Oreochromis niloticus: one gene and its partner. The protein of the gene in region 1 purifies or fractionates together with the protein of each later gene. This does not show direct contact. Links are inferred from orthologs where the notes say so. Each region holds a gene or a part of one and is shown in the gene's direction. Other genes may lie near its edges.

The links.
Region 2: the proteins of vars1 (region 1) and eef1b2 fractionate together in Homo sapiens (co-fractionation; 3 studies listed by BioGRID, with this or other methods). This does not show direct contact. The link is inferred for Oreochromis niloticus from reciprocal best matches to the Homo sapiens genes VARS1 and EEF1B2.

The regions. Positions count from the first base shown.
Region 1 is NC_031976.2:23,843,026-23,853,480, forward strand, and holds the start of vars1 (valine--tRNA ligase), read left to right. Parts: upstream 1-5,543; 5' UTR 5,544-5,655; intron 5,656-6,157; 5' UTR 6,158-6,159; coding exon 6,160-6,516; intron 6,517-6,600; coding exon 6,601-6,744; intron 6,745-6,835; coding exon 6,836-7,037; intron 7,038-7,123; coding exon 7,124-7,239; intron 7,240-7,849; coding exon 7,850-7,925; intron 7,926-9,515; coding exon 9,516-9,616; intron 9,617-9,709; coding exon 9,710-9,837; intron 9,838-9,926; coding exon 9,927-10,091; intron 10,092-10,177; coding exon 10,178-10,259; intron 10,260-10,351; coding exon 10,352-10,455. Other genes in the region: uncharacterized protein si:ch73-54f23.2, read left to right, coding at 104-418, 1,862-2,671, 3,660-4,181. UniProt on the Homo sapiens protein: Catalyzes the attachment of valine to tRNA(Val).
Region 2 is NC_031980.2:39,040,463-39,051,045, reverse strand, and holds eef1b2 (elongation factor 1-beta), read left to right. Parts: upstream 1-6,637; 5' UTR 6,638-6,810; coding exon 6,811-6,890; intron 6,891-7,256; coding exon 7,257-7,379; intron 7,380-7,452; coding exon 7,453-7,585; intron 7,586-7,661; coding exon 7,662-7,728; intron 7,729-7,902; coding exon 7,903-8,028; intron 8,029-8,637; coding exon 8,638-8,705; intron 8,706-8,832; coding exon 8,833-8,919; 3' UTR 8,920-8,939; downstream 8,940-10,583. UniProt on the Homo sapiens protein: Catalytic subunit of the guanine nucleotide exchange factor (GEF) (eEF1B subcomplex) of the eukaryotic elongation factor 1 complex (eEF1).

The DNA.
Region 1 (10,455 bases):
TATACGGAAATCACTGGGTAATTTATAAGCCTCTCCCTCTCACTCTGTAAGTGTGTGTGTGTGTGTGAGAGAGGAGGGGGGATCTGCTAAGCTCACCACCATCATGCTGTGTCCTGCTGCTGTCAGTGCAGCTGCTGCGGCTGTCTGCCTGCTGGCAGTGTTGGGCCTAGGCCTGTCTCTCCCAGCTGAGGACAACTCGGAGGCAGACTTCACCCTCTGCAGCAACTGCTTCTACAGACAGACGCCTCCTCAGGGATCCTCTGCAGGGCCGCTGCTGCGCCCACGCTGCCACAGGCTGCCGGGAGGGCAGGCGTTTGCCACTCTGTCCAGACCGACCTGTGACACAGCTGTCTACTCTGCCTTCCATCTTGGCCAGGGATGGACTGAGAGGGAGGGAGAGGAGGGGAGAGAACCTGTGGTAAGAGTACATCTATCACATTTCTTAAAGTAGAAGTGCTTAGTTTTGAATGATGAAATTCTAAGTAAAGAAATGTGGTGTAAAGTAACTAAGTACATTCACTAAACTGGTTATTTTTCTAAATTCAGTTATTTGGCAGTTGTGGGAACCACTCAATTTTCTAATAGAGAAAATGAAGTAAAAAACACAGAAAATGGAGCCCTGCAATAGATTGGCGGCGTGTCCAAGGTGTGCCCTGCCACCTGCCCTGTGACAGCTGGGATACGCTCTAGCCCAACCATTGCCCCTGAACTGGATAAGTAGAAGAAAACGCAAGGCTGGATTACCTGGATTTGATGGCCACCCTTTAAGAGGGGCCTGTAATGACTATTAACTCTTTGCAGTTGAAGTTTAGACAAATTTCATCTCTAAAAAACTTTCAGGTGTTTACATCTGAATACAAACTCAGTGCTGAAATAGGTACCGTTAATTCATATTTTACACAAAAAATAAATACATTTGTAAAACAGGGTGTTACTTCTCTACTCATACAGAAAAGGTCAAATCATCATCGTTTTAGAAAACATGATTCATAGGAACATTTATGTACAGAATGCATTCTTACATATTACATACATCTTACATATTGTTATTTAATAGCCAAATAAACTAAATGAATGTTTTTATATCTAAATTTGAGCTGACACACTGGAATTAATCAAACATAACATTCGACCACTAAAATACATTTTTCTCTTCAGAACTTGGCATCAAAAATAATAACACATTTCTATCTTTTTTCTGCTTTTTGCAAAACAGTAAATTAGAGAATTTGTGAATAACTACAATAATTTTAGCATTGGATTAACCATTAGGAAACATAAGACATTATTTTTTTCGTAAATACAATGCTGTTACTTTAGGGCAACTGTGGTATAAACCTTATAGTGGTTAGGGATCTAATAACTTTGTTAAGCGCTCTACTTGGATTACTTTATCACAGACAATGGAAATAATCTGGAATAATAATAAATAAGAAGAAGTATAAGAATTACAGGTGTCTGGGGATAACTAAAGATTTGTAATGCAGAGCCTTTGAATAATAGTATATTCAATATAAAATAAAACACCTATGAAACTTTTGTTTTTCAAACATTCAGCTCTCAGGCCAAACAAAAAGTTTTTTAATTAGGAAAAGGGTCTAATTATTTTTTCCACATTAAAAAATCATTTGAAAATGGAGCTTAAAGAAAATGTAAACAATATAAATTTAAAAGCTGGATTGGATCTTTATCACACTGATAATTATAAACACTCAACAGCTGGGCACGCAGAAACAGGAAATAGAGATGTTTCTGTTGTTGTTGTGTCCTTATATGGGAACATTTAAAAATCAGAGTGCATTGATTGAAGAGTTTGATGGACTCGTTGTTAAACTGCTGGTTTTGGTTCTTTTTCTGCCAGACGGAGCAGGAAGAAGACATTAAAGTGGCAGCACCAGCTCTTCTCAGAGGAGGTGCGGATCCATCTCATTCTGTCTCACCCACAGACTCCCCTTTTCACCACTGGGATTCAACAGTCACAACACTGGTCCAGTCAAGCGTGTCTCCCCAGTGCAGCACTGTAGGGGGTGATCTCTACATCCTGACTGGACTGGGAGGACTCGGGGCTGCTGAAGATGGAGACGAGGAGTGTCAGACGAAGCTGCTGTGGTCTGCGGCGTGCTGTGCTGTCCCGCAGGGGAAGGGTGGCTTCAGCGTTGGGTTAATCAGAGAGACGGAGGAAGGGGTGAGGCAAGTGAGCGTGAAGGAGCTGGAAGACATGCTAGGATTGGCAGAAATGTTCTCTGAAGGCTGCGGAGGAGGAGATGGGAAAAGTGTTGAAGTCAGAGTTGGTCTCCACAGTGAGGGACTTCCTGGAAATACAGAAGCAGTCGCTGCTGTTGAGGAGACAACTGACACAGAAAGCCGAGAGGCGTCGATAACTAAAGAACAGGCAGCTAATTCTCAGTCAGGGAAAGCTGACGGCGCTGACGCCACGCAGGAGACTTCAGCAGATGCAGCAACTTCTGAGAGCGGCGGTAATGAACAGGGTGATGTGACACGCTCAGGAGCTGTCAGGTCAGACTCAGACTCCTCAGCTGAACATGAAACTGCTGAAGAGACGGACACAAACTCCACCAGCACTCTGGTCTCCATCCTCTCCATCACCTTCTCCATCTTCAAATTTCCTTTGCGTCCTGTATTCTCTACAATCACACAACTACCTGAACAGGTGATGCAAAAGCATTAACTGTTTAAAGATAGTTTTACTTTATCAGAATTAGATTACTTTATTAATCCCATGGGTTATTATAAGGTCACAGGTATTCCAAGACAGAAAAAACAGTAACAAACAAGTTAAAGTACAAATACTAAAATAACAAAATATATTACAAAATATTAGAAATAGCTCTAATATGTAAACATCCCAAAATATACTACACAAAATGTAAATATAAACATAATTTAAACTGAGTTGCCCCTCTCACCATACTAACAGTTATTTTCTATGTAAAGGATGTGCAGATATTAAGAGGTTCAGACTCAAAGATGTTTTCTGGGAGTATATCATACACTTCCATAGAGTCGAGTCTATATCAAGGGCAAGTTGCAATACTGGGTCTACTTTCCCATAAAGCATTACCGAGACTTCATGGATTACCTCGCCACACCCTAGTTTGTAAAAACATCATTGTTAACATCTCCATGATTTGTCAGACCTCTCAGATCCACATTCCAGACATGTGTGTAACACATGTGTGACAGTTGTTTTCACAGATTGACTAATGCTCCCCGAGACTCTCTCATTTCACAAGTTACAAGCAATCCTTGAGAATTAAAAGATATTATGACTCTATATATTAATTAAACAGTATAATAACCTATGGTTCTGCTTAATGTTTTCAATAGGAAAACAAAACCATTACAAATCATTAGAAATAGACAATTTTGTTTCTACATTTGAGCCTCGGGTTAATAAAACTGTCTCAAGAGTTTGTGTTATGTATTAACCTGTTATGTATTAACATATTCAGGTTCAGAGTTAAATAATAAATCATCTCATTCCAGTCTGCTCCTCCCATAGACTGGAATGAGGTGTGGTGTACAGGTGGAGTTAATTCTGGGTGTAGTGCATTGCCTCAAGGCTTTCTGTCTTTTTGTTGTTTATACTTCCTGCAGTCACACTGTGAAATCGACTCACTTTTCTTATCTGCGTTCAGGTCACCTATGTTCTCCAGGAAGACCTCGGAGTTCTCTCTACCCTGCCTGGAGAGACCTTCACCCTGCTCCATCTACTGACCTCTGACCTCCTCTCCTGGATGGGCACAGCAGGAGAAATGCTGCTAGGTATTGGGGAGACCTGCTTCTGTAGTGTTTATTACTGCACCTCCTCTATGATGGGGGAACTGCTGAGCAGCTGCCACATTGGGGTCACTGGTCTGGGCACCCTGGCTGGAGACACAGTGGGGGTATTTGGTGATGCTTTGGATAATGCTTGGTCGGTGACCAAGTTCTTTGGAGGGCGGCTGTGGGAGCAGAGTGAGGGTTATATGGGAACAGTGATGTCAGAGATGGGAGGTCAAGCACAAGCTGTAGGAGGAGGTTTTGGGAGACTGGTATGGAGAAGTGGGAAGGGAGTGATCAATGTGTTCAGGCTGGGTGGAGGGGTTATATTTGGAATGGTTGATGTTGTCTTTGGGGGTGTAAGAGAGGCCTTTGGGCAGGAGGCGAATGAAGAATGAAAGAAAAAAAAGACTCAAGATAACACCTTTAATAAACTTTTTTTTTCCTGAAGTTTCAGTTTTGGTTTGTAAATTTCTTCCAGATATGAAAGTGTGAAAAACTAATTAAAGATGTCATTTGATATGCCTTAGTTGTTACAGATGGTTTGCTGGATTTATTTTTGAAGTAAAATAGTGATGGAGTAAATTTCACTGCATTTCTTACACTGTAGGTCTTACAATTCACTGTGGAAAACTGGCTGCCCAAATAGTCTGCTGTACTTGAGAGCTTAACCAACTGTGATTTGAATAACACTGTGCACACTCTGCTATTGGATGTAATTACTCATGACAACATGTGTGATAACTGTCACATCTGTCAATCTGAATAAAAGAGTATGCTGGGTTACCAACATGACATGCACCATTTCCTTGAATTTCCTTAATTTAATATTCTTGTTTCCTTCTTCCAGTAGTACAGTTTGACATATATATGTATATTTACCCAGTTACCTAGTCATATTATGCTTCTACTGCAAACTGTATTTTTAGACAGTAAAAAATGACAGAATTTTACAGAATAAACCATGATGATGTTGGTATTACGTTTTTACCAGATCGGTAAACTGCTGCTTTATTATACTATTATACTATATTTATTAAACTGCGTTATTTGTACTAAATGATGATGAAACAATACTAATATATAACCATAACCTGCAAGATGACTCTCTACCACAGATACATTTTTATTATCGAGGGCACATGAGATATAAAACATTTGTTATGCCTATTTGCATGCAAATATATTGTTTTGGTGTAATATATATATCAACAGACATTGTAGTGGTGATAAGGAGCATAACAGTCCAAATAGCAACATCTGGAGGAAGGAGCGCGAAACAATAGAGTACCAGGGGCTTAAGGTGGAAGGTAAAGTGGCCGAAAGTGTAAGAGTCATTATGTGTGTCAATGTATTTATATTTAAAGATATGTCTGTGTAATTAAATTCAGTCAACTGATTGTAATTTCTATTTTTTAAATAACTACTTGTTTATTATCATTTTCTTACAATTAGCTGATTTGATGTAATAGCTATGTATTACTACTAATAATAATCACTATCATCACCATCATACTTTGACTTTTTATTTTTGAGGCAAACTGCTTTTAAATAGCTTTTATTAGCAGTTTTAACAGCTTTAATAAGACTTTTTTTAAAAAATACAAGTCCTTTAATTTTTAATTTAATAGCTTTACAGAGTGGCGTTGCTAATCTAATGTAATCTAATCTAATCGCCGATCGCTGATTAAAATACCTTCAGTGGTAGTTGTTGCTGACCTGTTGTTGTAGATAACATGACTTCCGTTTTGTGCCGGAAGCGGCGGCTGAAACCCGGAACTCGTCGATGCCGTTTCATTGCATCAGACGGGCATTCATGTGGCTGTGTGTGTGCGCTAACTGAGCTGACGTCTCTGTCTGTTTCATTCAAAGGTACGCATGACTCGCTTTGGAACATTTTAATAGCAAGCCGCAGGTTTCTTAGACGCTTACGTTCTGGTGAATTTAAAGTTGTGGCAGCTTGAATAAAGGTTTATTAAAGTTCACGGCGGAGCTGCTGAAGAAAAACTTCTTTCAGTTTGACTCGTTAGCTTAAGCTAACTAGCCTGCTTGCATGAGTTTTCATCAGTCTGACAGGTGGCACGGCTCAGAGCTGCAGAAAGTGAAATAAAGAGCTAACGGGCTAACATATCTATCCTTTTTTTAAGCTCCTTTGATACCCACTGTGACATGCTTAAAGCTGATTTTATTAAATATGTTTAAACAGTTTGCTTTGACAAACCTTCTGGACATCCCCTTGGGTGGCATGAAGTTTGGCATAACAGTGTTTCTGCCAGCAAACACACCCATCCAGTCTGATAAGGAAATGCTCAATTACAGCAACAAAATGAGTGTTTCTCTCTTACTTCATGCAACCTTAATGTGTCTTCACCAGAGATGACCACTCTCTACGTGTCCCCTCACCCTGATGACTTCAGGAGCCTTCTGGCTCTCTTAGCTGCAGAATATGGACTGTCCTCCCGGCCGCGGATCATCACAGAGGACCCTCCTGCATCTCTGAACGCCCGCTCCAGACCAGCCCTGGTGCTGGGCACCGCTGGGGATGGTGACTCTCTAGTGAGCGGGGCCACTGCTGTGTCGTGGTACTTAGCCTTTCAGGGAAAGAGGGCTGGTCTAGATGCTAAGCAGCAGAGCCAGGTTTGGCAGTGGCTCAGTTTTGCAGACAATGAGCTCACCCCAGTGTCGTGTGCTGTGGTCTTCCCTCTGATGGGGGTGACAGGAGTGGATAAGAAGGTATTTAAAAGCTTCCTTGGACCTGAACGTGTGTCTGATTTGTTCATGTAAAAATGTATTCTCCTACTCTTTGTGCATTCTCAGCTCCAGCAGAGTTCCCGTGCGGAGCTGATGCGTGTTCTTAAGGTTCTCGATCAGGCTTTGGCACCAAGAACCTACCTGGTGGGAGAGAGCATTACCCTGGCTGATATGGCTGTAGCTACAGCTGTTTTGCTCCCCTTCAAATATGTATGTGTGCTGCGCTAAACTTTCTGTCTAACAGGTTTTTCTGCATAGCTTCTGAACAGAAAAGCTTTAATATGCTTTTATAAACACTCAGGCATTGGAGCCATCAGACAGGAAGGCTGTAACGAATGTTACCAGATGGTTCACGACCTGCATTAATCAGCCACAGTTCCTGAAGGTACTGGGGGCGATCGTTCTTTGTGAAAAGATGGTCCCAGTCACACCAAAAACAAATGCTGCTACAAATGCTGTTAATGGCAGTCCTGCTGCTGACTCTCCCGGCGCTCCAGCAAACGGTTAGGAACTTCAACGAATCACTTGATAAGTATTAGCAGAATGCAATGTACCGTATCTCATGCCATTGTGATGTTTTCTCTCTCAGGCCCACCGAAGACGGAGGCCCAGCTGAAGAAAGAAGCAAAGAAGAGAGAAAAGCTTGAAAAATTCCAACAGAAGAAAGAAATGGAAGCAAAGAAAAAGACACAGCCGCCATCTGAGGTATAAATACCCAACATGTACAAAGAGAAATTCATTTGTGAAGTTTTGAAAATCGCAAATATCCACGGTAAATCATCTGTTCTTGTGTAGTGCTTTTCTACCCTACTTGAAAGTGAAAGTGATTTATATAACATATTACATTCATACAAGCACTTTCTTGTTTTTTTATTTTTAGTCCTGCTGTGTTCTGTCAAAATTATGATCTCAATGCACTGTGATCAGCTGTATAAATTCTCCATAGACTGCTCTTGTTCAGAGCTTATCTGTTTATTTCTTCATTTCTGTTCATGTCATTTCAGTTATTACATTATATGTGGTATACAGTATGACAATGTCTAAGGCAGGATATGGGGGAAAAGGGGGAGGAGGGTGATAGGGGAAGACATAATAAAAGGATAGAGTACAAATAGAAATGCACTATTTATCGCTAACTGCCTCACCTGTAAGAAAAACAAACGTACGGAACACAAAAATTTGAAAATGAAAATGAAAATTCGAAAGGGTGACCCTGAACTAGCCATCTGATTTGTAGTTGATAGTAACACAGTCACTGAAGACGTTACTATTTCAAAGTCTCTCATCTCTTTTTTTCTTCTGCTTTTTTTCTCAGAAAAAGGCCAAACCTGAGAAGAAGGAATTGGGAGTGATTACATATAACATCGCCACCACTGCTGGAGAAAAAAAAGGTGAGTGTTCACTATGCTTGAGTTGATTTGTGTACTGTAAGCACATTGCACGTAACGTTGTGTTCCAGGGAAGCTTCCCTGCAGCTTGCACTGTGAAGTTACCTTATCTCAGTGACCACAACCTGTAAAGCGGATGCCACACCTAAGTTTCAAGCTGTTTAATTTAAACGGAAAATAAAACAGAGGAAATGGCCTGGCAAAAAAAAGAAGCAAAAAAGTGGAACACGTTAGGGTCAGTGGGTTGTAGGACCAAGAGCTTCTCTCCCTAAACTAATGAGGTAAAAAAGTAAACCAACAAATAAAACTGTAAAAAGACAGGCTACCAGTACTTCCATCTTACAAGAAAAAGAAATAAGGAAGCGGAGATCTGAAGATGCTGGAGAGCTGCTTAGGCTGGTAGAACAAGGTCCTTTAGTTAGAGGCAGAGCAGTCATCAATGACTGGACCTGGCTCAGCTGATAAAGAGGGAACTGACGAGCAAAGTAGGAGAGAGTAGGGCAGGAAAGGGGAGACAACACTGACAGGTCTGTTGGCAGCAGAACAACAAAGACCTGTAATATCTGAAAAATATGCAAAGTTCAAACAGTGTGGGCTAAAAGCATTACAAGTGTGACGTGTCTGATACCAAAAGCATGTTAAATTATTTAAGCTGTGGCCTAATATTTTAAAAAACCCCCACTGTAAATCAAGTTAAGCTGTACAGTTTCTAGAGGTGTGTGTGTGTGTGTGTGTGCGTGTGTGCACGCGCTGTATTGGAAAAGCACTATGTCAATAAAGGCTTTTTAAAGCCAGGAAGTAAAGCTGGATAAAATAGACCTTCCTGCTGTCTGGGCACGAGGTCCACGTTAATGGTACCACTATTTTCCGGAGAATTGATTGATCAGTGGGTGGTAGTTTTGTACCAATTGACCCCCTCTCTTGAACCTAACTTCCTTTATAACAAGATGGATCTGCAGCAGAAGTTACCATGGTGATGTGCCATCCCATCACAAGTTAACCACTGTCATTACCCAGAAAATCCAGGTTTAACCCTAAAGTTGCCTCAGTAAGCACCAAATCCTGCTTTGTAGCTCAGGCCTGTGGTCACTCCATTCAGACTCTGCTGTTCATTCACAAACAAAACAAAAGTTGTTCTGTCTGTGTTGTGTGTGTAAGGTTGCGTGTGACAAATAAAGGCTTTCTTGAGTTAGTTTTTAGATAAATGTGGACATTTCACCAAGTAGGTGCTGTGTAAAATAAAAGACACATAGGATAGACAACCACAGTATTCTTTAGATTTAGGGGAACAGATTCTACCTCAGGCTTCAGGATTGATGTTCGTATGTATGCTAGAAAGCTTAACATCCAAGTGTCATCACACTTCTCATTGTATATTATGTGTGTATTATTGTACTTTGATGACCTTTACATTTAGTCCTTCTGGGTTTTGCAGCTTTTTTTATTCATTAGAGGTTTATTATTCCACTGAGTGATGACATATTTGAAAAAGTGCACCTTCTTTTCAGACTGTGATATTAGTAGTTTTGTCAGCATTTCACTTGAGTGAGCTTCAGATGCTTTACTCAACCCTTTCCTCACCTTTGCTGCCAGATGTTGTTAGTCCACTTCCTGACTCCTACAGTCCTCAGTATGTGGAGGCTGCCTGGTATCCGTGGTGGGAGAAGCAGGGCTTCTTCAAGCCTGAGTATGGGGTAAGTCCTCAGATATTATAAAAATGGTGCTGAATTAGATTTTTAATTGATAATTTTAGCTTCAAATAACCTGCCTGTCACTATATTCTGTAGAGGAAGAGTATCAGTGAGGAAAATGCTAAGGGCATCTTCATGATGTGCATCCCTCCACCTAATGTGACAGGATCACTTCACCTGGGTCACGCCCTCACCAACGCCATCCAAGACTGTTTGACCAGATGGTAATTTAATAAACTATAATTTCTTTGTTAACTGATGAAATTTCTCTCTGTTAATATGTTTGAGCTAATCTCCCATCCGGTCTGTGCAGGCACAGGATGCGAGGTGAGACCACCCTCTGGAACCCAGGCTGTGACCACGCTGGCATTGCGACCCAGGTGGTGGTGGAGAAAAAGCTGATGAGAGAGAAGGGCATGAGCCGTCATGACCTGGGCAGGGAAAACTTTATCCAGGAAGTCTGGAAATGGAAGAATGAGTGAGTAAAAGAAGTAGCAGGAAAACGAAGATTTAAAGAATCTTAAATAGGAAAAACACTACAATATTTCTTTTTATCCCTTGTAGGAAGGGAGACCGGATCTACCATCAGCTGAAGAAACTGGGCTCTTCCCTGGACTGGGACAGAGCTTGCTTCACTATGGACTCTGTAAGGTTTCTAAAATCTTTGAAGTGTGGGAAATTTTGTGTTCAATAATAGTTAAAAATAAAACTTTTTTCTGTTTACCTGGGCTCCTCTAGAAACTTTCCTATGCAGTCCAAGAGGCCTTTATCCGCATGCACGATGAGGGAGTGATCTACAGGAGCAAGAGGCTGGTCAACTGGTCCTGTACACTAAACTCTGC
Region 2 (10,583 bases), on another chromosome or scaffold:
AGGAGACATGCTCTTCTTCAAGGGCAGGTAAGTAAAACAAATCCACGCGGAGCGTTCTTCTCCACTGTGGTGCTGAGATGATTGTTTGAGTGTGGTCAGGTTCTTCTGGCGTAGCCACCCTAGCTTGTGACCCCTCAGCAGGCTCTCATCACAAACTTCTGGCCCGATGCTCCAGTTAGCATCGACACTGCGTACGAGAGTCCTTCTTTTTAAACATCGGTGTCCATCTGCTGAAGCACGCTTCATCCCTCCCTCACACAGGTCCACTCTGAAGTCCTCTTCACGTCTGTTTACAGGTCACCGCGTGTGGGCGTTCAGCGGCTATGCCCTCGTGACCGGGTATCCTAAATCCATACCCAGCTTCTGTCCACCCACGGCAGTGGAGAAGGTGGATGCCGCCCTCCATGACCCACAGACCAGGAAGACTATTTTCTTTGTAGGCAGCAGTTACTACAGGTGTGTTCAGGTCACACCTGGAGAATAGCAGGTAGCGTCACAGATGTTCCACCTGCCTAATCCCATTTCTCTTCCAGCTATGACGAGGCCAGGGTTGACATGGATGACGGAAACCCCAAACAAGTGGATGAGACCTTCCTGGAAATGAGCTCCGGAGTGACAGCAGCTCTGTAGTACAGAGGTGAGCATCTGTCCAGCTGTTTTTAGGGTCCTTGGGTTGTAATGCAGCACTAACAGGTGACGTGTGTCCCGCAGGTTTCTTCTACTTGTACAGTGGACCGTACATGTACGAGTTCAGCCAGAGGATGCTGCTCTGCGTGCTGAGGAACAGCTACTTCCTGTCCTGCTCCAAACTCTAGACCCTTAGACGAGTTCACACAAAATCCCAAATTTAAAGGAGAAGAAGAGCCGATCATTTTTAATGATTTCACTGCTCCTATCACCAGCAGCTCAGGTGTTTCTGTAACGTCACTGCTTTATAAAGTTTTCAATATAAATTTACCTGTGGCACAGCCGTCCTTGTTTATTTGCTGTGAGTCAACCTGTGAACGTCACACACATCAAACACAAACCAGTTAAATACATCATGTCCAGGTATGTTACAGCCTGAGGTGGCACAGGTACACACTACGGTATTTAAGGGACAAGTACAACTTTACTTGACTAAAGGGGCAAAAGTACTCAGAGTACAGAACCAGCACCTGTATGTTTCAGGTGATACTCATATCAGAATAGGGTAACACAAACTTTATTTAAACTGAGGGTCTGACTGAAGATGGCCTTTATGGCCTTTAACATCTGTTGCCTGCTCTGCCTCCACACCTGGACAGGTAAACAAGAGTGTACAGCGGGGTTTGGCAGATTGAGGAATCACAGGATTGGTAGTAGTGGTGCATCATGGGAAAGAGAGTCAGTCAGAATTAAATTAATAAAATAAATAAAAGTTGGTATTAGCAGGTTGGACTATTATGTAGAGTGGGATGAGAGTGCCCTCTGCTGGACCTGTGAACAAACTACGAGCAGCTGCTGATCTTACTTTGAATGGAAACATTGAGTTTGAACCACACAGACAGCCAATGAAAGCGAAGCTGGACAGGTGTGAGTCCTACCTGTGGGTAACCCTGGGACAGGTGACAGAAACATCTGCTTTCATATGTCTAAGAGACAGGAAACTAATGCAGTGCTTTTACATAAACGCTGTGGTTGTTTGTTTGTGTCAGTGATGTCATTATAAAGAGCTCATCATTTAGAGTAACAGAAGGTGTGATCTGATCAGAGGTTTAAACCAGTACATCTGTTCAGGTACAATGTGAAGCAGCGACCGTCTCCTGTTGTGTCCTGAGCCGAGCTTCAGGTGAGTCTCACGAGCGCCTCAAAAACAGGAAGTGAGTGGAGAACGGGTGACTGTTACCAGAACTGTACTGTACTACGAGTACACCAGGGCTGTACTTGTATTGTGTAGTACTTTATAGTAGTAAAATACTGTACTATGATCAGTTCAAGTAGAAGTGAAATAAAAATGGCTGCGGTTACAGAGGAGTGTGATGTCTGAGCAGGATAAAACTCTGATGATCTTCACTGATTGCTCTGATTGCATACCTGCAGGAAGGCTAGTGTTTGCTGTTCTGGACATGCTCAGACCTGCAGTTCTTCTAGCCCTGACTGGCCAGTTGATGGTGTGCACTCTGCTGAGGTCACATTTTGGGATTGCCAGGGATCGCTTGAACCCCCACGGAGTACTTTTTTACAGTAAAAAAGTTGCCGTTACTGAGGTCACATCAGTCTGATGACCTGCTGATGTCAATACCTCAGCTCAGGGGCGATTTTAGCCCATTTTTGAATGAATCAAAGCACCCCCAAAGATTTCTTACTTCTTTTGACAATATTTGCTGTTTTTGTGACACACTACTAAAAATATAAAAAGCATACAGTACTTGGTTGAGACGTAACATTTCAACAACAAAAGTATAGATACCCCCCCCCTCCAAAATGGGGTTTGTTCCAGCTTGCCACTCCCCAACTCTGGCTCCAGCACCGTTGCTGCCAGAGCAATGGTGGCTGAGATGCAGCGGAGCGGAGGTGGAAGTGCCTGGCTTAAAACAGGACATATTAGCTGCATTTAACCTTCAGTTTCTCTGTATATAGTTAGGTAGGAGTCAGACCATGTTTCTTTTTAGCTTAAAAACATTACACCCAGGTAACCTGCAGTGTTGAAAACTTGTTTTCCGACGATGTTTGCTACCCTACAATCCGTCCTGCTCTGTAGTAAAATCAGCGACATTTGACCGTCCTGTTGTTCCCGTTGAAATGTATACAGCCTATTTAAAATCTAAAACTTAAAATTGTCCATAGGCTACTGTTGTTACTACTGTCCTGTTTGTAATGGATACTAACTAGCTAACTGACTGGATGCCCATTAACCTTATAACTCCTGTTGTGTGTGTGTGTTTGTGTACAGAGAGACAGTTCATAATCAATATAAGGAAATCTTTTCAAAAAAAGGAGCCACATTCAGGTAAAAGTGTAAAATCAAATGATCAGTCAATAAAGGATTATGTTGGATCAGTGTTTCAATATTTATATCTTTTATTAGATGTTCATGTTGTTTGGTTATTTGCCTTTTGGTTGAAAGTACACTGAGAGAGTACTTTTTGTTAGTGATCTTCAGTGATGGGAATAACGGCGTTACAAGTAACGGCGTTACTTTTTTCAGTAACGAGTAATCTAACTAATTACTATTCCTATCGTTACAACACCGTTACAGTTACTAACAAGGAAACGCGGTCCGTTACTATTTTTCAACAAACAGACGGTTGAAACTGTGTTCAGCTTACCGCATCTTATATCAGCTGCACGGAAGTAGCTGTAAGTAATCTGGACGCTAGCTTTAAGCAGCTGCGCGCTCCCGCGGACGGCAATCACGATCACTGTCTAGCACAACACCTGGAGCTAAGGAGGCAAAACAATCGAGTGCTGCTGTTTGACTGAGGAAGAATAAAGTAGTCGTGGTAAGTCAATCACGTGACCACTTAAAGACAAAGCAACAAGGTGCTATATACCAGTTTTTAAATTGTGTCCACAGGCCACGTAAAACCAGAGTCGTGATAAACAAGATATACGGCGTTTTTTCCTCAATAGTTTCGCCACGTTAGCAAGCACTCTCTGCTTATGCGCAAAAAACAAAACAAAACAGGGGAAGTTTTAGGAGTGACGTCGAGAGAGAGAGAGAGAGAGAGAGCAGAAAAAGAGAGAGAGCGAGTTTTGAGATGTGAGATTTGTGACGTTTAGCGTGTTTGGAGTGTGTAGTTAATGTGTTGTCTTGTGTAGTTAGTGTGTAGTGTTGTGGATAGTTTTGTGTTGTGTGTCAGAACAATGAGGCGACTGCTGTCTCCAGGTAGAAACAGCAGTGATACACCTGCTGCTGTCAGACCTGCAGGTATCAGGCTGTGATGTTCTCCTTTATAGTGGACAGAAATTATTTTTTTTGGAGAGGCACAAATAATTTGTGTGGCATCTTATTGAAGAACAGCTGATTGTTCTGTAAATAGTTTGAAATGGTTGTTTAAAAAATCAAGGTAAATGGATGCAAATAAATTTGTTGTTTGCAAAACTTGTGCATAGGATTTTAAAATTGACAATTAATATTTGCATTTGAAGTTATGAAATATGATTCATTAAACATGTTTGTGGTTGTTACAGTAAAAATGTAACTTTTTCTACTCTGATTTTATGGTTTTTGTCTGATTTTAGATCAATTCTGGTTATACAGTATGACAAAATGAGAACATAACTGTAAATTCAGGCACGCAAGGTTGTGCTAAAAAGAATGATACCAAACAAGGCAAAGCAAATAGTTGTTTTTAAAGGTAAAATGTGGAGAGAAAATCAAGAGTAGTAAAAAAATGGCCAATTATACCCTGGACCCCAGGGGGTTAAACGTTCTTTGTTTTTTTTAAAGTAACGCAATAGTTACTTTTCCAAGTAATTAATTACTTTTAGAATATTGTAACTCAGTTACTAACTCAGTTACTTTTTTGAAGAAGTAACTAGTAACTATAATTGAATTACTTTTTCAAAGTAACTTGCCCAACACTGGTGATCTTAATAGTATTTTTTTTTCATATTAATGTAATCTTTTCATCTAATTGAATACAATCTATTTGTGTATGATTGTCAGTCCAAAGAGGGAGAGAGGAAAGAGGGGAACATGAGGAGAAAGGTCAGGAAGAACCAGGTAAGAAAACAGACAGGGAACAGTGACAGGCAAAACAGAAACCGTTAAACTGACAAAGAGAAAAAACCTGATTTTACTCATACAATCTAGAAGTTACGTTCTCCCTATATTAAAGCTGCTATACAGAATCTTCAAAACAAACTGGGTTGAAACATTTTTGACCCTCTTTAACAACATTCCAACATACCATTATCATTGATTGGGGAGATTAAAATTAATGATATATTTTTATGTGGTTCAGCCACAACTCTACTAAAACCTCAGCCAGTAATAGGTAGGCTAACCTTTGGACCGTCCAGTTGTCTGTATGACTGCAGTACGTGCACCACATTTGTACACTATCAGAAAGTGCCAAACAGCCCTGGTGGAGTGAGGAGCTGTAACGAGAAGCAGAGTGCTCTGTTTATATTCTAAAAATGTTTTAAACTAGCTTGTTTCAAAGATTCTGTACTGCAGCTTTAAATGTTTTCCAAAAGTACACATACACTTACCTTATCAGTGTTTCTCAAACTTTTTACAGTGTCTACCATTGGGAAAATGTCGAGCTCTCCCAAGTACCACTATGAAAGTATGAAACTCATAAATCTTACAACACAAAATTAGTATTATTAAATTAGTAAAATTGGTATCTGCAGTAAAGATTTTTTCATACATTGTATACATTCTACCACAGGCAAAGTTGCCTCCATTTTTATATTTTTTTTTATTAATATTTTGTAATACTTTATTTGTAATAACTTATTCTGTTTTGGGAGTATTTTTTATGTATCTGTATTATATTATACATACTCATTAAAAGTGAATCTCTGTCCAAAAAATGCACTCAGTTTACTTTTTACTCACTATGAGCATCATTCATTATTCTCCCCCAGTAATTAAGGTTAGAATATGTATTTTTTTTATTCCAATCCATTCTTCTTTTGCAGCATTCAAATAACCTTTATCAGATTTGATGGTTTTGTTACAGACTTTTAAAAAAGTGTTTTGTTTTTCTTTCACAAATGTGGGGATTGAATTGTGTTAAAATGTACAAAACAATGATGTCATGTTTTGTGATGAGAACCCAGGCACAGAGAGACTTGATGAATTTAAGAATCTTATGATTTAATAAAGAAATTTACAGACTTGCACAGAGATGGTAAAATTATGATGACTGATAATAGAGATGAAGACAACAGACGACGAGGACAGGGAGGAACAGGGGTTTAAATGCATCAAGGAGAGTGTCATAGAGAACTTGGGAGAACTGGAGACATTTAAGGATGCAGGGGATGACAGAGACAGGGAAGAAGTCTCATTGTGATGTGTAAAGTTTATTTTGCCTCGCTGGGCAGCTCTCTTTGTGCTCAGCACCCCCAAAGCTCAGATAGCAGCGTTCATCTTACTCTCCGTGGAGATCAGGCTGGGGATGATGGAGATGATGATATACATCATCAGTGACATCATCAGTGCCATCAGACAGCAGGATGACATTTTTGTAAGATGAAGGTCTGACTGTTGGGTGCGGGTGGAACTGTGGATGATGTGATACTGATGCTGATCCAGGACCAGCTGAGCTCAGGTACACGGTGAGATGCAGAAACACTGAAGCACCCCAACACCTGCAGGAGTTACTTTATCAGGTTACTGAGGAGGACTCAGACACAGCCATCATGAACCAGACTATCGATTATTCATGTCTGACTGATCTGACATCAGTCAGAGGAGCAGCTGAGCTGGATCGGTGCTGCTGCTGCTGATGGAGTAACCATAGATAGATACAGGTAATATTCACTTTATTTACACAGCTCCAAAGCCACGGTCTCCTCTAATGATTTACTAAATAAAGCTACAGAGCGTGCTGCCTCCTCATTGGTCGCTCCAGAACGTTTGTCACGTGTCCTGAGCTGGACTCGAACCCGCGCTCTCCGGCTCTTGTAAGCAGCTGTTTTTAAATAAAGTTGGGGACATCCTCCTCCTCCTCCTCCCTCTTCTCCTCGGGGCGGAGCGGCAGCACTCCTCTGAGGAGGAGTCTGTCTCCTCCTATAAAGAGGATCCTCGCTCTGCGTCCTCCCTCTTCTTCTTCCTCCTCTGGCGGATCCTTGCGCGTGTCCTCGTGGTTACTCTTCATCACCTTTATCATGGGTTTTGGTGACCTGAAGTCAGCCTCCGGCCTCAAAGTGCTCAACGACTTCCTGTCTGACCGCAGCTACATCGAAGGGTGAGTGCCGGGAGCCGCCGTAAAGCGGTAGAAACTGCGGCATAGCCGCCGCCATGTTGGGTCCATGCTGAGCAAACGGGCTAACGGTTAGCTGCGTTGATTCAAGCGCTAAAGAAGGGAAACAGGAAACGGGACGGTAAACTGGCGCGAGAAGTGCACCGGGTTTGGAAGGAGGGTAGGGGTAGGGTAGGAAGGGTCCGTGCCGCGACCGTTTTTATTCACTTCCGTTTGACGTGACAAGCTGTTAGTCTGTTAGCCGCATCCTGCTAACGGCTGCGAGTCTGCGCACTGTCCCACGTGGATGGAATGAAGTCTTGCACCTGCTCTTGGAGTACCCCTAGCCATGGTCATGTGTTCTCTCCTCAGGTACGTACCCTCCCAGGCTGACGTGGCGGTCTTCGAAGCTATTTCGGCTCCGCCCCCTGCTGACTTGTGCCACGCCCTCCGCTGGTACAACCACATCCGTTCCTACCAGAGCGAGAAGAGCAGGTGAGCGCTGCTGACATCGTGGGGTGAACAACGGTGTGCTCCGGCAGCAACTAAACCTCGCCTCCTGTTTCAGTCTTCCAGGTGTGAAGAAGCCCCTGGGTCAGTACGGGCCCCCCGGAGTGGCTGACACAACCTCAGGCTCCGCCCCCACCACAGCCAAAGACGAGGACGATGATGACATCGACCTGTTCGGCTCAGATGAGGAGGTGAGGAGGTGGCGATGTCACCATGATGCTACAGCGTTGTCACTCTAACCTTTAACCCTGAGTTTTGGTTTAAAAGGAAGATGCTGAGGCGACCCGGCTGAAGGAGGAGCGCCTCGCTGCCTATGCCGCCAAGAAGGCTAAAAGTAGGTCCGCCCCCCTTGCAACCAATGCGTCATACAGACTCTGTGATGATTAACCAATCACCATCTTTCGGCTGACGCCTGATGGATGCCTTTTCTGCCTGACGAGTCCCGCCCTCGCACGGCTCGTGGCTCGCTCCATTTCCACAGTAACTAACCCCCTCCCCTCTCCTGCAGAGCCCGCAGTCATCGCCAAGTCTTCAATTCTATTGGACGTGAAGCCATGGGACGACGAGACGGACATGGCGAAGCTCGAGGAGTGCGTACGCAGTATCCAGATGGACGGGCTGGTGTGGGGCCAGTGTGAGTACTACTGCAAATACTGCATACACTATTACACCCACCACTGTGGGGTTAAAGTATTACACACAAGGTTGGAGTCAGTATCCGGATGGATGGGCTGGTGTGGGTACTGCAGAGTAATACTACTGGTAGCACTGCAGTAGCATTAAAGTAATCATTGTACCAGATGATGTGGTGGTAGTAGTAGTGTCTAACACGCAGTAGTAGTGACGTACTGATCAGTACTCTGTCAGTTAAGTCATTGGTAACGCCGTGATCATTGACTATAGATGAGTACTGATGGATCAATGGAGCTGATCAGTTATTGGGTGACTCGGTATACCTGTGACACCTGAAGTATTGATTATAGATCAGTACAGGCTCATTTTGATGTTCTGATCTGTTTATTGATAATGGGTTATTGATCAGAGTGGGTGTGATTCCTGCAGACACTTGATTATTGATTTGTGTGTAGAGTATTGATCAGGCTCACTGATGATCTAACTCACCATCTTTCGGCTGATCACTGATCGACTCTTACTGATCTGAGAGCTTCTGATCACTGACCAATAACCCGATAGCTGCAGCTTGGAGTTGCTGATCGCTAACTGTGATTGATCTGTCCTGCAGCCAAACTGGTTCCCGTGGGTTACGGCATCAAGAAGCTGCAGATCAACTGTGTGGTGGAGGATGACAAGGTGAGTGGCCTGTTATTGATTGCTGATTAGGTGCCTGTCAGGTTGATTAGATCACCTGTGGCACTCCTGCAGCAGTAAATGCTGTTGCCTGTGTGTGAGCTCACCTCTGTGATGTCATCTGTCTCAGGTGGGCACCGACATCCTGGAGGAGAAGATCACGGAGTTCGAGGACTTTGTACAATCGATGGACGTCGCTGCATTCAATAAAATCTGAAATAAAAGCTCTGCACCACACACTGTGTTTGACTCACCTGTACACACACTTACACCTGTTGGTTAAGGGGCCTGTAGCACTGAGTAGCTGGAGCTCAGAGCTGCTTTCAGGTAAACTCAGAGCTGATCCTAAACTTAAGTGTAAGTAAGCCTGAGATTAAACCATTAAGTCAGCTGAAACTTTATTTAGCACAGACTCAGTCGACGCGTCCTCTTCAGTGGATTCAAATTAAAGCCTGCTTCTTCACCGGAGCTAGTTCATTAATCATTGTATTAATCTGTTCAGAGTAATGTTCATCCCGAGCTGTGTAACTTGGGCTGTGATTGGGGGACAGAAACGCATCACACTTTTTGTGTGTTGTTGTTGTTTTGTTTTTTTAAACCCGGGAACGCGGACTGTAGAGGCTGCACTTCTCCGTGTGGCCTGCTGGCGGAGCCACGCCCACGCTGTGTTGCAGCGAATGGAGCCGAAGAAGAAGAGTCGGACCGGAACTTAAACAGAAGGGGGAGCAACGCGCGGCGGCGGAGGACTTTTAAATCTGTGGAAACTGAACAAAAGCAAGAAGGAGAACAAACAGCTGAAGGTAAACGGTTTCTGTCCGCCCTGACGTGAATGCACTGCGCCCACAGACAGCCACTCATCTGCTCCTTCGGCCTCACCTAGCGGGCTAACCATGCTAGCCCATAGCCAGGTGCTAATGCTAACAGCTGCTGTGAGGGTAAAGCCACGTCACTGGCAGCGTGACGAGCGGCGTCGCCATGGTTACCGCGAGTCCGGTTTAAGTCGGGGCCAGCGTGAGTTTAACCAGTCAGGTTTAAGAGGGAAGGTTAGCACCCGGCTAGTTAGCTTCAGTCAGAATCGACCAATTAGAGCTCGGTTCAGGCGACAGTAGCCAATTAGAGCGCAGGAAGAGAAGGGCTCTGATTGGTCAGTCGACGGCGCCGTGTAAACAAAGGGTTTTCGTTTACAAACAACTGACATAATTGCTTGTTTATTCAGAGTTACCATGGTAACGGGAGCTGTGAGGGCTTACAGAGAGTCACACCATCTAAATGCAACACATCTGGTAACTGTCCTCATGATTTCCTAAGGTAGAGTCTGAGTGTAGTTCTCAATGCTCTTTGCGCTAGGAACCACGTTTTTACGATCAGGGTCAGAGGTCACGCGAAGCTGGTTATAAACACTGCCTTAACCGCAGGTCACTTAAAAGCAGTGGAGCTGGCAGTGTTGAACCAATCACAGGTGTTTCATGGGTCATGTGACTCTTCCACAGAAAATAATCCCTATGCGTGACACCAGAGATGTCATCAGATGGTGATAAAGATCTACAAACAAAAGTGGTTTCAGTAACACAGCAGTGTGACAGTGAGATGCTCAGTCTAAGCTTCAGTCAGTGGTTCATATGAAATCAGTCAGTCTCACTGAAAACATCTGGAAATCAAAGAATCAGTTAAAAGGTCAGCTGACCTGAAACTCTGAAAATCACAATTAGATTGGTCAGAAGATGAATGGGTGTGATTGGGTGAATGAATTAGTTGTATAAAGCGCTTTGGGTGCTCAGAAAAAGTAGAAAAGCGCTATATAAGAACCAGTCCATTTACCATGTAGCCACTAGAGCAGGGCGATATGACCAAAAATATTTGTCACGATATACATTTGAAAAT